Schizosaccharomyces pombe: one gene and its partners. The protein of the gene in region 3 interacts with the protein of the main gene of each other region in a pairwise test. Each region holds a gene or a part of one and is shown on either strand. Other genes may lie near its edges.

Region 1 (4,947 bases), on a different chromosome or scaffold from region 3:
AAAGGCGTTAATAATTTACCTTGTTTTCTCTTTTTTCGACATTGACTCCTCTTCTAAAGTATTCGCTTATTACTCCTAATTCTGCTCCTCCTAATACATCGATTCCTACTACTTGCATTGCTAATTCTAATAATTACTTCTTAATAATAATAACATACTAACTAACTTCCAACTCATAATACACTTTACTATTCTACCCTTGCAATTTACCCATCTCGCCTTCCATCTTTTCTCAATCATATTATGGTTTCTTATTCTCAAGATTAATCAAATCTACCTACCTCAAAAAGAAAAAAAAAGGCTCTTTGCAACGAAGTACATCATCCTTCACGTGCAAAAGACTAGCCAAGCTGGCACAAATATCCATCATACTACCAACAAAATAATAGCTACGCTAAACCCACTAAAAGCAAAACACACTTTCTTCAAATTCCCCCTCTCACACCACCAGCCAGCCAAGCCAAGCCAGTCTAGAGTCTTTTTCTTCCTCCGATAGCAATAGCAGCAACATATAAAAACAAATAAAATAATAATTATAATAAAAGGTATAATAATAAAATAATTGCGACATCTCCGCCTTATAATAACTATGTAAAAATTGAACAGTTTCTTAGCTATGAGCAAACTAGGGTTTCCGTCTAACATGCTCTCCTTCGCGCACGCCAGCTTATTAAATTAAGTTTTCTTTCAGCTCATACCTGTCACTGACGAAAAAAATAAACCAATCAAACTCTCGGTCGATTGAATTCTCAAAGCAACATATATCCACGATTGTAATAAAATAAAATAAAAGGAAAAAGGGGAGAAAAAAAGACAGTTTAAAAAATTTTTTTTCCATGGATAACAAAAACACAACCAACAAATATTGAAAACTTTTGACGTTTTTTTAACCCCTTTCATTCAATCAAACAAATCTTTCTCTATTCCGTCCACAAAGGGAATATAGATAGATAGATAGATAGATACCACCACACCTTCAACAAACTTTTATCCGTCCGCATCATTTTTTCATAACTCTTTATAAAAAACGAGAGGTGTGGAATTTGCAATGCCTTTAGCCTGTCTTTTTTTTTAAACGCCAATTTCGTCGAAGCAATTCAATCATACACCACCTTCCTTCTTCCTTCTATGACAAAAGAAAAGAGAGAAAGGAACCAGATGACACATACAATTATTCTTTAATAAAGAAAATAAATTATGACCAAACAAGGACCTGGGGAAAAGAGTAGTAAAAAAGAGTCGACAAACGAAGGAAGAATATCATAAACCCATTATCGTTTGTCAGTAACGATTGTTTCTGGGATCATCAATCCATCCAAAAAGGAAAAAGTCACGAAAAAGCCCAAATGGGATTACGATAAGCTTTCAAGAAATTTCTTTTTTATTTTCGCTTGACACTGCAATTTCCCTCTCCACGACGACAAATAGAAAAAAAGTAAAGAGTTTTTTTAAGCAACCTGGACGGCGGTTTGCTGAGGAACGGCATCGCTAGACTCAGAAGCAATGCGAGACATACGCTCAGCATGGACATGAGGGTGCATGCCAGGCTCGTTCTCAATGATCTCGCTAGTGTCGGATTGAACGTCGTCTTGTAAGTGGGTGACTTGCTCAACGGGGACGGGCTCACCTTGAGCCTCATACTCGTTCCAGGAACGAGCGTCACTTTGGGCATCATCCTCGATTTGAGGCTTGACAAAGTTGACGGCGGGTTGGCTGGGAACCCAAGAGCTCAAGGCGTGCTCAGCATCCATGACGATTTGGCGGGAAGTCTCATAACCATCGTAGGCAGGACGAGCCTCACCGGGAGTGACGGGGGTGTCGTCAATCAAGTTCAACAAATGTCTGCCATAGGTGGCAATGAGGTTGAGCTTCTCGGCATGCTCGTGGAGGGCATCCAAGTTGAAGGTCATGGCTTGCTTGAACTTTTCACGGGTGGTGTTGGAAAGTTGAGCCTCGGCAACCAAACAGGCAGCCTCCTCACGAACAAGCTCTTGCTCCATGGTGACCAAGCGAGGGGATTCAGGATCCTTATGCTTAAGAGCATAGATTTGATCCAAGAGCTTTTGCTTCTTCTCACGAGAGGGTTGGACAGAGGACTCGATGTTACGGATGGACTTCAACGTCATACGGTATTGGTCATAACGATCGATCAAGTAGTTCTCCAACTCGGCCATCTCGTAAAACAAGACACCCAATTTGTCGGTGACGTCGCTGATATCGTCATCGCAGTCCTCACCCCAGTAGGAAAGTTGGCGAGCACAATCACGACGGCCACGGATGGTGACCTCCATACTGCGCATCACGTTCTTTTCCATCTTGACCAAGACAGCCAAACGCTTAGCCAAGTCAGGGGTGAAGGTGGCAGCGTGGTTGATACGCATGGTATGACTCAAGGGGGCAAACAAACGACCACTACGAGTGGAAGAGGAGGGAGGAGGGGGGTTTAACAATTGTGAGGCCGTAGGGGCACGGCTGTTTCTTAAAGAGTACGCACGGTTCATCATCTTGCAGAAATAGAAATAGATGTGGGTAAATAAGAAGAGATGGTAGTAATAATAAAAATAAGTGGTAGTAGTAGTAGTATATTAGTATGTGATGATACTAATAAGAACAATTATAGTGAGAATAATTTAGTAGAGAGAGGACGAGTTATAAGTAAAAAAAAAAGAGTAGGACGAAAAATGTTTAACACTTTACCAAAGGGCGATACGAAATTTCGTGGGTATATAGTTAAATAGGATAGATAGTTAGATAGAGAGAGTGTGTATAAAAAAAGCCCAAAAATAAAAAAATTTGTCGACTATATGAAAAAATGGAAAGGAGTCGGGATTTTTTTTTGGGGAAAGGGAAAAACGAGGAAATTTTCCTTTTGGATTTCTTTCAAATTCACTTAGCTTAGCTTAACTTTTGCTTAGCGGCTATTCTCTGGGTATAACAAAAATGTGATGGGGTATATATAAAAAAAAAAAAGATTATATATATATATATATCCCAAGGTATGTTATATCCTATGGTATGAGAAAGGATACTATAATAAAGTATAGTATAGTTAAAGGATAAAAAAGAAAAGAAAGTTTTGACTAAAGTCAATGAAAACGTGAGTATGGATAAAGGTGTATCGGTAAATGAGCGAGCCAGTCTATATATACAAAGCTAAGGTGGGAAAATGATATCATCACTTGCCGTAGTGAACAAGAGTAGGTAAACATCATTTGGTCAGCTTGCTGGCCACAGTTGCCATAGATATGTCCATTCCTTCTATCACGTAAACATGACGTTCCCATTCGCGATAATATAAAACCGAATTTCTTTCTGGATAGCGATGTTGACCAATGCGTTTGGCGCACCGCGTTAACTGGAGCTGAAGGGGGAGGGGAGGGGGGCAGCGAGTGTTGAAGGGCCGATGGGGTAAACAAACGCGTCGTCGTTGTGAAAGAAAGAAAGAGAGTGAAAAGAATGAATAGGCCGGGGAGTGGTAGGATGTGGTAAAGAGAGAAGAGGGAGAAGTGACGATGGGTGTGTTGAAGAAGGATAGAGCAGAGGAAGGCAAAGTGGGTAAAAAGGAAATAGAGTAGAGAAATGAATAGAGATAGAGGGGATAAAACGGAGGAGGATAGGACAGAGGAGAATGGGATAGGATAGGATAGTGTAGAGGAGGATGGAGTAGCTTAGGATAGAATAGTGTAGTGTAAAGTAGAGTAGAGTAGAGTAGAGAAGAGAAAGAAAGGTAAGAGAGAGAGAGAGAGAGACAAGAGAAAAAACAAAAGATAAATGGACCGATAAAGATAAATATAGAAAGAAAGATAATATAAATGGATAAATATGGATGAAACAAAAATAAAAAAAAAGGTTAAAACAAAAGAGAATAGAATAGAGAAAAGGTAAAAGTTAGAGGCAACAAGGGTAGGTAACAAGGAACGAGGTGACAAGAAATGGAAAAGTGAGAGAGAGAAAAGAAGTAGCGAAAGAGAGTGAGTGATATTGTGAAGAAGTGAGTTGTGAGTGAAACGGGATATGAGTGTAGTAAGAATGAAGAAAAGAAAGATGAAATGAGTTCAGAAGAAATTAGATGAATTCAGAAGAAATGATTGTAAACGAGTTTAAGAAAATGCCGACGCTGACTATGAATGAGTATTAGATACTTGCAACAATTTTATCAGTTTATTCGGAAGATGAAGAGGATCGAGTGAATACGGAAATATCTATCTTTGGCAATACGGGAATGGAGCACCAAATGGAACACGGGAGTGTAACGGGCATGGCATGGCATAGCATAGCATAACATTGCATGGCACATGGCATGGCGATGTACTGATAATAGCTAGAAATGCTAGAGTAGCGACGAGAAGAGAGAAAAAAGAGCGACAAAAGGAAATAAAATAAAACGAAAGAAAATAAATAAACAAAAGAATACTCGAAATAAAATAAAACGAAATAAAATAAAATTAAACGAAATAAACAAAAGAATACCTCTATTATTTCCCTACTATTTTCCTACTAGTTCCCTTCTACTTTCACTTCCTTTTTCATGGCTCTTCTTCTCTCTCCTGCTCCTCCGACCGTCCGTACTTCTCTCCCTCTCTCAAATCTCTCTTCCCGACATATGGGAAATCTTCTTTTCCCTCCTCGCTGCCTTACTGTACTAGACTCCTGCTCTGCCGCCGCTGCCTTGCTTCCCTCCTTTCCCTACGGTGCGCGCGCACGATAACCAAACGCCGCAAGAAGCGATCGTCTATTGGATAAAGTTAGTGTCTCATATAGCCGAGGTATGGGAAAGGTGCGCAAAGGCAGTGCGCAGCAGGACAGACAGTTAAGAGGGTGCCAAGCAGTGCAGTAGAGTGCAATGTAGTACAGTAAGCTACCACGTAAATGTAGCAGAATGCAAGGCATTTCAGTAGGTGCAATGTAATGCACTATTTTACAATGTAATGCATTATTTTACAACGT
Region 2 (5,111 bases), on a different chromosome or scaffold from region 3:
GGTACGAGCGGCTTCCTCTTGTAGTTGAACCCATTGCTTTAGAGATCCCAAATAATTGCCAATGTGAGGAATTCCAGTAGGCTGAATACCTGAAACAACTCTGCTATGTGGAAGGAGAGAAGTGATTTTTGGAAGTTTAGCCATTCTTTATTACTTTTTATTTAATTGGTTTATAAAGTGAACAAATAAATAAAGATAAAGAATAAATGTAATGAAAATAAAAAAAAACAGCTGTGTTATAATCCAACTGATTACAGCTCGCAGACAATTTTTTCAAAAAGGAACAAGGCCGTAGAAACGAATGCTACACTTATGACTAGGTCAGAATGAAAACAAGCAAAATATAGGAGGAATGTTCAATGACACGCAGATAAGACAACAGGATAGAAACTTTTCTTCTCTACCAAAGATAGTTGATAAATGGTATCAAAACGGGATTATTTTTTTGGTAAAATCAAGTAGCTAAAGTTCATAACCATACAATTAAAGCGTTGCAATACCTCAGAAACTGAGAAGATGCCTATAACAAAAAATGGGATAAGAAACCCAAACTATGGGAGGAAAAAAAAGATTAAAGGCGGAAAGTGATATTGTTAGAAAGTATGGAGAAAATCCTACAATGGTGGGTATTTGAATTCTTCATAAAAGAAGGATAGTTTACATGGAGCGAGTCATTGAATGAACTTTAAGCCGTTAAAAATCTACCGAAAATAGCTCGTTTAAGCGTGAGGTTATTTTTTTTTTATTTTTTAACGAATTTGTTACAAGTGTCCAGAAGTTCGTAAAACTTGAAGAGAGCAAGTAAATTTGTATAAACAAACATGTTTTTTAAAGTATAAAAACTTTGTAAATGATATTTAAGTTGGTGTAGAAATTTAATGTAAAAAAATTTTGGATGCTTTTTGTGTACGATAGATCGACTAAAAAAACATACAAGAATGCGCAGGTCATGCCATTCTTTTTTTTTCCATTAATTTATTCCATATTGACTCGCCATCCCCACTTTGCGGTAAATAAGCGCTGCAAAGTTTCTCGTTGATTTTTACTTTCCTCCCTCTACCACTCCTAAGAAGAAAAAGGAAATTTTTTGACTAAATAGTCATGATTTCAGCAATATTCTACTTGTGTTAGTGATGTTTTAGCAGTAGACAATGATTTTCAAAAAGCTCGAAAATACGGGTTTTCCGCAATACCCGCTACTATTTTGGTAGAAAAACAAGTCATTGTTAGTTCGTCGTTTTAAAAACGCTATCGTGAAAATGAAGATTCTTTTGAAAAGATAAAAGTCTTTTAAATCCGCAGAAAAAAGAAAAAAGAAATTAAACAGAAGAAGCTTGTATGGACTTTACTTCGGCTATTTGCATTCATTCTTCACCTCCTTATGATTGGTGTGTGTAAGCATGCAAGCGACTGCTTTGGTTTAGGTGCAATGAAATTCACTATTTCATTTAACGTTTCAATGGTTCAAGACTTCGCAACGACGAATAGGATCATGGATTGATATCGTAAATAACAATTAACAAGCCCGAAGGAGGTGGAAAGAAAAGCAATTTGATGTAAAATTAAGCTAGCGAAGAATTAAGAATGTAATCAAGCGCCCCACTGCAGTGCCGTGATTATCCTTGTCTTTTAAACACCGAAGTTTAAAATCCTTGCGCTTAACAAGCGATAGTGATCGACGGTGGAAACATTTTTTTTACGACCTCGAGGAGTTGGCGCTTTCTTTGCCCATAAGCATCTTCTTGTCTTCACCACACTTGAGCATTTCCGACTAGCCAAGGCTGGTCAATTTGCCCCTCAAATATTTTCTGAGGATTTAATAGTTACGACGTATAGAGGGTGCTTTTTAATTTTTGGTATCTTAAAAAAGGTTTGTATAGTACCGGTTGGATGTTGGCAAGTAGATAATTTTTTGTGGTAAATTTTTGCACTTCCGATAAACGTTCTGTCAGGCACAGGATTATGAATCCATCTGATTTACCAGGTCAAATACCTCTGTCTAGATCAGATATGAATGTCCAAGATCAATTGGACCCGGTTCAACGCTTTGATACTCATTTTATGCTTCCCCAGGAGGAGAATTTTTTGAATCGCCCCTCCATAACCTCCGAATCTGCACATCCACGAGGAAGTGATTTAGAGCAAGAGACAGAACTAAAAAGACTTGCGTTGGAACATGAACATTACTCTTTAGAGTCGCTAGCGGAAAAGCTGCGAATGGACCACGTAAGTGCCAATTCGGAAAAATTTCGCCAGGTTTTTGGCATATGTTGGTTAAAGCGTGCTTGTGAAGAACAACAAGATGCTGCTGTCCAACGAAATCAAATATACGCTCATTACGTCGAAATCTGTAACTCTTTGCATATCAAACCTCTAAATTCCGCTTCGTTTGGAAAACTGGTTCGTTTGCTCTTTCCTTCCATCAAAACCCGACGTTTAGGCATGCGTGGCCACTCAAAATACCATTATTGTGGTATTAAACTGCGTGGTCAAGACTCTTTTCGCAGACTACGTACCTTTTCAGATTCAAGTCTTTCCCCCGTTTCCTGTTCTTCGTTTCCCAAACCTATTCCCAATCATTTTGAAAACGATGTTTCTTCTATTCAAAACACAAATCAGCGTGTAGAAAGCAGCCCTGCATCGGTTAATGCTGCGGCTATAGTTAGAAAATCCGCTGTCACCCCTTCATCAGATCCTTACAATTCGCCTCCTCCTTCTATACCTTTGCTAGGAAGTCAAACCAATTTGCAATTGGCTCCTTCTTTTGCTGCTCCACAAGCCCATCCCCTACCTTCACATCTTTCACAATCCAATGTTCCGCCACAACTTTCTCATTCTTCGGTACCTTCACCTGCACCACCCCGTTCTGTGTCCCAACCGACCTATTTTTCTCAACCCATGCCTCAGTTTTCTTCTTCGTTTGTACCCGGTACTTCTTCGATAGTACCTACCTTGCATCCTGCTTCTGCACAAGAAGATTTTAATCTTCAACATTCCCTATTCTTCAAACTTAAACTTAAATTCTTGCCTCCTCATAAGCTTCCTTGGATCCCATCATTAGACGTGTCTTCATTTTCCTTACCTCCTATTGACTATTATTTAAATGGTCCATACGATAATGTCGAGGCGAAATCTGCATTAATGAACATTTATTCTTCGCATTGCATTACTCTAATTGAATCAGTCCGGTATATGCATCTCAAGCAATTTCTGTCCGAGATCTCTAACTTTCCCAATTCCCTCTCTCCTTCTCTTTTAGCTTTGCTGTCCTCTCCTTATTTCACGAAATGGATTGAGCGTTCTGATACCGTTATGTACAGGGAAATACTGAAGTTGCTATTCCCTATGACTCTTCAAGTGGTACCTCCGCCAGTCTTGGTGCTACTGCGTCATTTAGCTGAGAATCTCGTTAATCACATATCCAGCATATACGCTTCTCATTCATCTTGTCTTCTCCAAGTCAAATCTGAGACTGCCGCAATCTTTAGTAACTTATTGTCTCGTCTTTTGCGTGTCAACGATACGGCTCATGCTGCTGCTAGGTTCCTTGCCAACCCTGCCGACAGGCATTTAATTTGTAACGACTGGGAACGATTTGTCAGTACAAGATTTATTGTACATAGAGAATTAATGTGCAATGACAAAGAAGCAGTAGCCGCGTTGGATGAGTGGTATTCTATCCTTTCAACCTGTTCAAATCCTTCTGAGCTTTTAGACCCTTTGAAGGACAAACATGAAGCCAGTGATACATCAATGAACAGGGTCGAACTTCGACAAATTGATGGTGTTTTAGATCGTATGGCAGATTTTTTTCTGGAGTTGCCTTCCAGATTTCCCTCCTGCTCTCCTAGAATGTTTCTTCTATGCCTAGGCGCTTTACAAACTAGTGTGCTTCGTGAAATCACGGTCAGTGGAGGTGAAGCATTTGGGGCTCTTTGGGTAATTAGATGTTGGGTCGATGAATACATGACTTGGGTGGCAGAGATTGGCGGATACCTCGATGATAGTTATGATGAGCTGGAACAGCATCATGCTAACTTTCATAATAAAGCTGGAATATCTCAGAGTAATATCCCTCCTCATTTACAGGAGCACCGTCAATCCCAGCAACACTTCCAACAAGACATCGAAGCTTTGCAATCACAACAACAACAACAAGCCACTAAAAATTCCTTGATGGAAGCTGCCTACCAGAATGCTCAGAAGCAAAAGGAAGACGACTATATATCCATTGTATTTGATACAAATGGTGCTTGTAGTTGATGTACAATATAGTTGACCCTTTTTAGGGCTTCGAAAAAGCAAGCGTAATTACACTGACAAAAGTTAATATCATTCATATTATTGTTTTTGTTTTTTAATATATGTTTCTTTTGTTCAGGAGGTCTATTTGTTTAAGTCTGTGAACTTTTGAAATGCAATTAGATTACTATAATCCTGGCGCTTGTTTCTTATGGGTGAACGTCCATACATATACCAAATTGAAAGTGACTATACTTTATATTTGTTTTTTATTTCTTTTAAAATTTCACTGTCAGTAAATAGAGTTTCAACATTTTTGTCTTTAATTTTGATATCGACTATCACATATGTATTGATTAATATAAATGTTCTCCGATAACTATTTTATAAAACCTATTTAAACTATTGAGTGTAATTATTGCATTTCTCTGGCAGTAACAAGAATATTAAGCCCATACAAATGAGGAAATTGGCATCGATATCATTCAACAAGAATAGCGAACCCCCAAAAAAACAGCATCATACTAAAAGCGAACTTTCTACGAGAAACTTCGTGTTTAAAAAACAAGACTTCAAATAAAATGTTTAAATATTCCCCTTAAAGACCATATATTAAATTAAAAAAACGACAAAATAACTTAAACAACGGAAAATGGAAACATCAACCACTATTTCAAGTAAGAAGGTTTTCGGCGCTGCTGAAGTTTTTTATATTGCCCCTTCCGTCCACTCATTTTCGATTTTTGTAATTCTAGATATTTTTTCTTGAAGTACGATCGTCTTTCTGAATCGTGCAATAATTCGTCAACAATTGTCTCTTTGCGCTCTCGAGTGGGGATACGACTAGAGTAAAAGTCCTGAGGACCTTC
Region 3 (2,571 bases):
TCCAAAGAACCCGATCCCGGGCACTTAAACGATTCCAAAGAACGCGAGCGTTGGAAAATTCGTTACGAGGAAGCTGAGTATAAATAGATCGATTAGGATGTCCAGAGCGAGTGACATCTTCATTATAAAAATGGGGATCGTTAAAATTGGGGAGTGCTGGTTTTTGCTTTGAACCATTTTGCAGGTTCCTCAGAGAAGTAGTTTCAGGAAAGGAAGGACTGGGGTGTTTCGAGGGTACTTTTGAAGAATTTCCATGAACAGATGGAGGCTCGTCTGAGTCCAGAAGCTTTCCAGAATACAGCAAATCCGTTGGATTATTCTTTCTTGGAACGCTTTTTACGAAATCGTCATGTTCAGATATTGTAAAGCCGTTGGATTCCTCAAGTGGCGAAGACTCGTCCTCATCACTGTCTAAAGACTCTTGCCATGCCTCTAAAACTTCTTGGGTATTAGGAACATTATTTTGAGCTTCTATATCAGCAAGATCGTCATATTGCTTTTTGTTTTGAGCCGGCTGATAAAACATGATCGCAATTCCACTCAAATTGGCATATGGGTTTTTCTCATGAATCTTTATTATTTTTGCTTAATTCAGAGACCTTTTTTTCTAGTTCTTGTATCCGAAGTAATGCTTTTTGATGACTATCTTTAAGTTTATCTAAGTTGGTCTGTAGCTGAGTTAACACGCTTGTGAGCAGGTGACATGAAGTTTGAATCAACTCGTTGCTTGAAACTGGATCTTCAAGCTCTGAGTCTGTAAGGCGAACAGTACTGTCATCTTCTTCTGGAATTGTTTCTTCGTCGTTAGTTAATCTTGGACGTTTCTGAGAGTGTTTGAGTTCGTCATGAACCTGATCAATCGGACTAGAGGGTGACGCCAAATATGAGTGTTCAAACATCAGCGAGGGGTACTCTGAAAGCATTTCTGGTTCATGCCTCCGATTTACAGATGGAGGAGTTGAAGGAGCCGATTCGGGCATTATGATTTTGGTTTGCACCAAAAGAATTTCTAGCGCGCGCACTTTATTACTGAGCGTTGAGAACAAAGTAGCATACCCCAAGCGAACGTATTGTACCTCGTTGCATCTGTTCCCGAAGTAAACATTTAGACAATGAACTTCCTAAAATATTTCTCACATTCGAAATAGCTAGAAAAACATATCTTTACTACATTTTCCTATCACATCAGGCATATATTTTCTATTTTGTTTAAATATATTTAAGGTAATACCAAAAAGAAAAAACAACAATTTCAAGAATAACTATGACAGTTTCATCTATAACTATAGTTATATGATTGGGTTTTTAAAAAATATCTATTATTTGAAAACAGTTTAGATACAAGTTATGAAAGAGCATTTATAAAAACATTTTTCAGGTGTTCGCTGGGTTCCATTCCAACGCTGACACGAACAAGGTTTCTATCTATGCCATTCTCACCAGCCCAATCCAACTCTTGGTAGTGAGCTAAAATTGCATAGGGAGAAGCCAACGTAAAATTTGTACCAAGTGAGGGACCTTTTGCTACTTGGATTTTGTCGTAAAATTGGCGCGCATCTTCAGGATTGTGGAAAACGACAGACAAAAGACCACCATAACCTCCATTTTCTCTCCGGCAAGCTTCAAAATGCTCTTTTGATGTATTGTATTTGGGATAGTATAGAGTTTTAATTTTAGGGTTTTGATAAAGCAAATTACAAATTGTTTCCGCGTTATGGTTTATCACTTGTGAACGTTCAGCAAAATCTCTGCTATTTCTTTCTAATGTCAAAGCATCCTCATCATATAATAAGTCTTCATAAAGAGCCTTCATAGCATCTTTTATTCGAGAGTAGTAACGACTTGACGGATTTAAAACCATACTACCTCCCATTACATTACTATCACCGCTAAAAATCTTTGTGAGGCTGCTGACAACTACATCTGCTAATGGTAAAACCTCAACGTTGACAAAATTTCCAATTGTTTCATCAACCACGACAGCAAAATCATAACTGTCTGCTAATTTCCGAATACGAACCAAATCGGGAGAGTTTAAAAGAGGATTTGATGGAAACTCACAAAACAATGCCATAACTTTCTCTCCACTTTCTAACCGTTTCTCAAACTCATCAAGTTGCTCGTCATTACCTAGTCCATAAAAGTAGCAGCCAGATCCCCATTTCTGTAAAATTTTTAAGGTATCAACATAACAAAAACCAAAACAAACACTTTTACGGCTATCATCAAGCACCAACCTTAATATGCGATGAGTATTGTAAATAGCACTCATGCCAGTAGGAAATAAAAAAACATCGTCGTGACTTAAACCTTTAACTTCACGTAAATACTGAGACCCTTCTTTGGGTAAAGCCTTTTGCAAATCAACTTCATCTTTTAAGGTACCAGCGATACGTCGTCGAAGAACAAGTTTAGCTGCTGTAGCCAAACTTAAATCTAAATTACGCCCATATCTCTCCTCCAAATATAGGGATACGTCTTCCATTTCATCATTAGCTTGGTTTCCTTCGTTAGTCATCCAAGTATTCAAAGCCTGTAGATCTGGATGGGAAGCATATCGGCTTCTGCTTT

Evidence for each region.
Region 1: the proteins of SPOM_SPBC15D4.08C (region 3) and pil1 interact in a two-hybrid assay, tested with the Schizosaccharomyces pombe proteins (one large-scale study listed by BioGRID).
Region 2: the proteins of SPOM_SPBC15D4.08C (region 3) and sak1 interact in a two-hybrid assay, tested with the Schizosaccharomyces pombe proteins (one large-scale study listed by BioGRID).

The regions. Positions count from the first base shown.
Region 1 is NC_003421.2:346,729-351,675, reverse strand, and holds pil1 (lipid binding protein Pil1), read right to left. Parts: upstream 3,118-4,947; 5' UTR 2,505-3,117; coding exon 1,449-2,504; 3' UTR 511-1,448; downstream 1-510. UniProt on the Schizosaccharomyces pombe protein: Negative regulator of cell wall integrity (CWI) in unstressed cells, probably by inhibiting protein kinase ksg1/ppk21 activity and regulating their downstream CWI pathways pck2-MAP kinase pathway and protein kinase gad8 pathway.
Region 2 is NC_003424.3:3,146,359-3,151,469, reverse strand, and holds sak1 (DNA-binding transcription factor Sak1), read left to right. Parts: upstream 1-1,750; 5' UTR 1,751-1,962; coding exon 1,963-4,263; 3' UTR 4,264-4,522; downstream 4,523-5,111. Other genes in the region: tryptophan--tRNA (Trp) ligase Msw1, read right to left, coding at 1-144; rRNA processing protein Fcf2, read right to left, coding at 4,911-5,111. UniProt on the Schizosaccharomyces pombe protein: Positively regulates cyclic AMP-dependent protein kinase-mediated exit from the mitotic cell cycle.
Region 3 is NC_003423.3:3,025,096-3,027,666, forward strand, and holds SPOM_SPBC15D4.08C (uncharacterized protein), read right to left. Parts: upstream 981-2,571; coding exon 564-980; downstream 1-563. Other genes in the region: autophagy-associated protein Atg9, read right to left, coding at 1-526; met3 (cystathionine gamma-synthase), read right to left, coding at 1,346-2,571.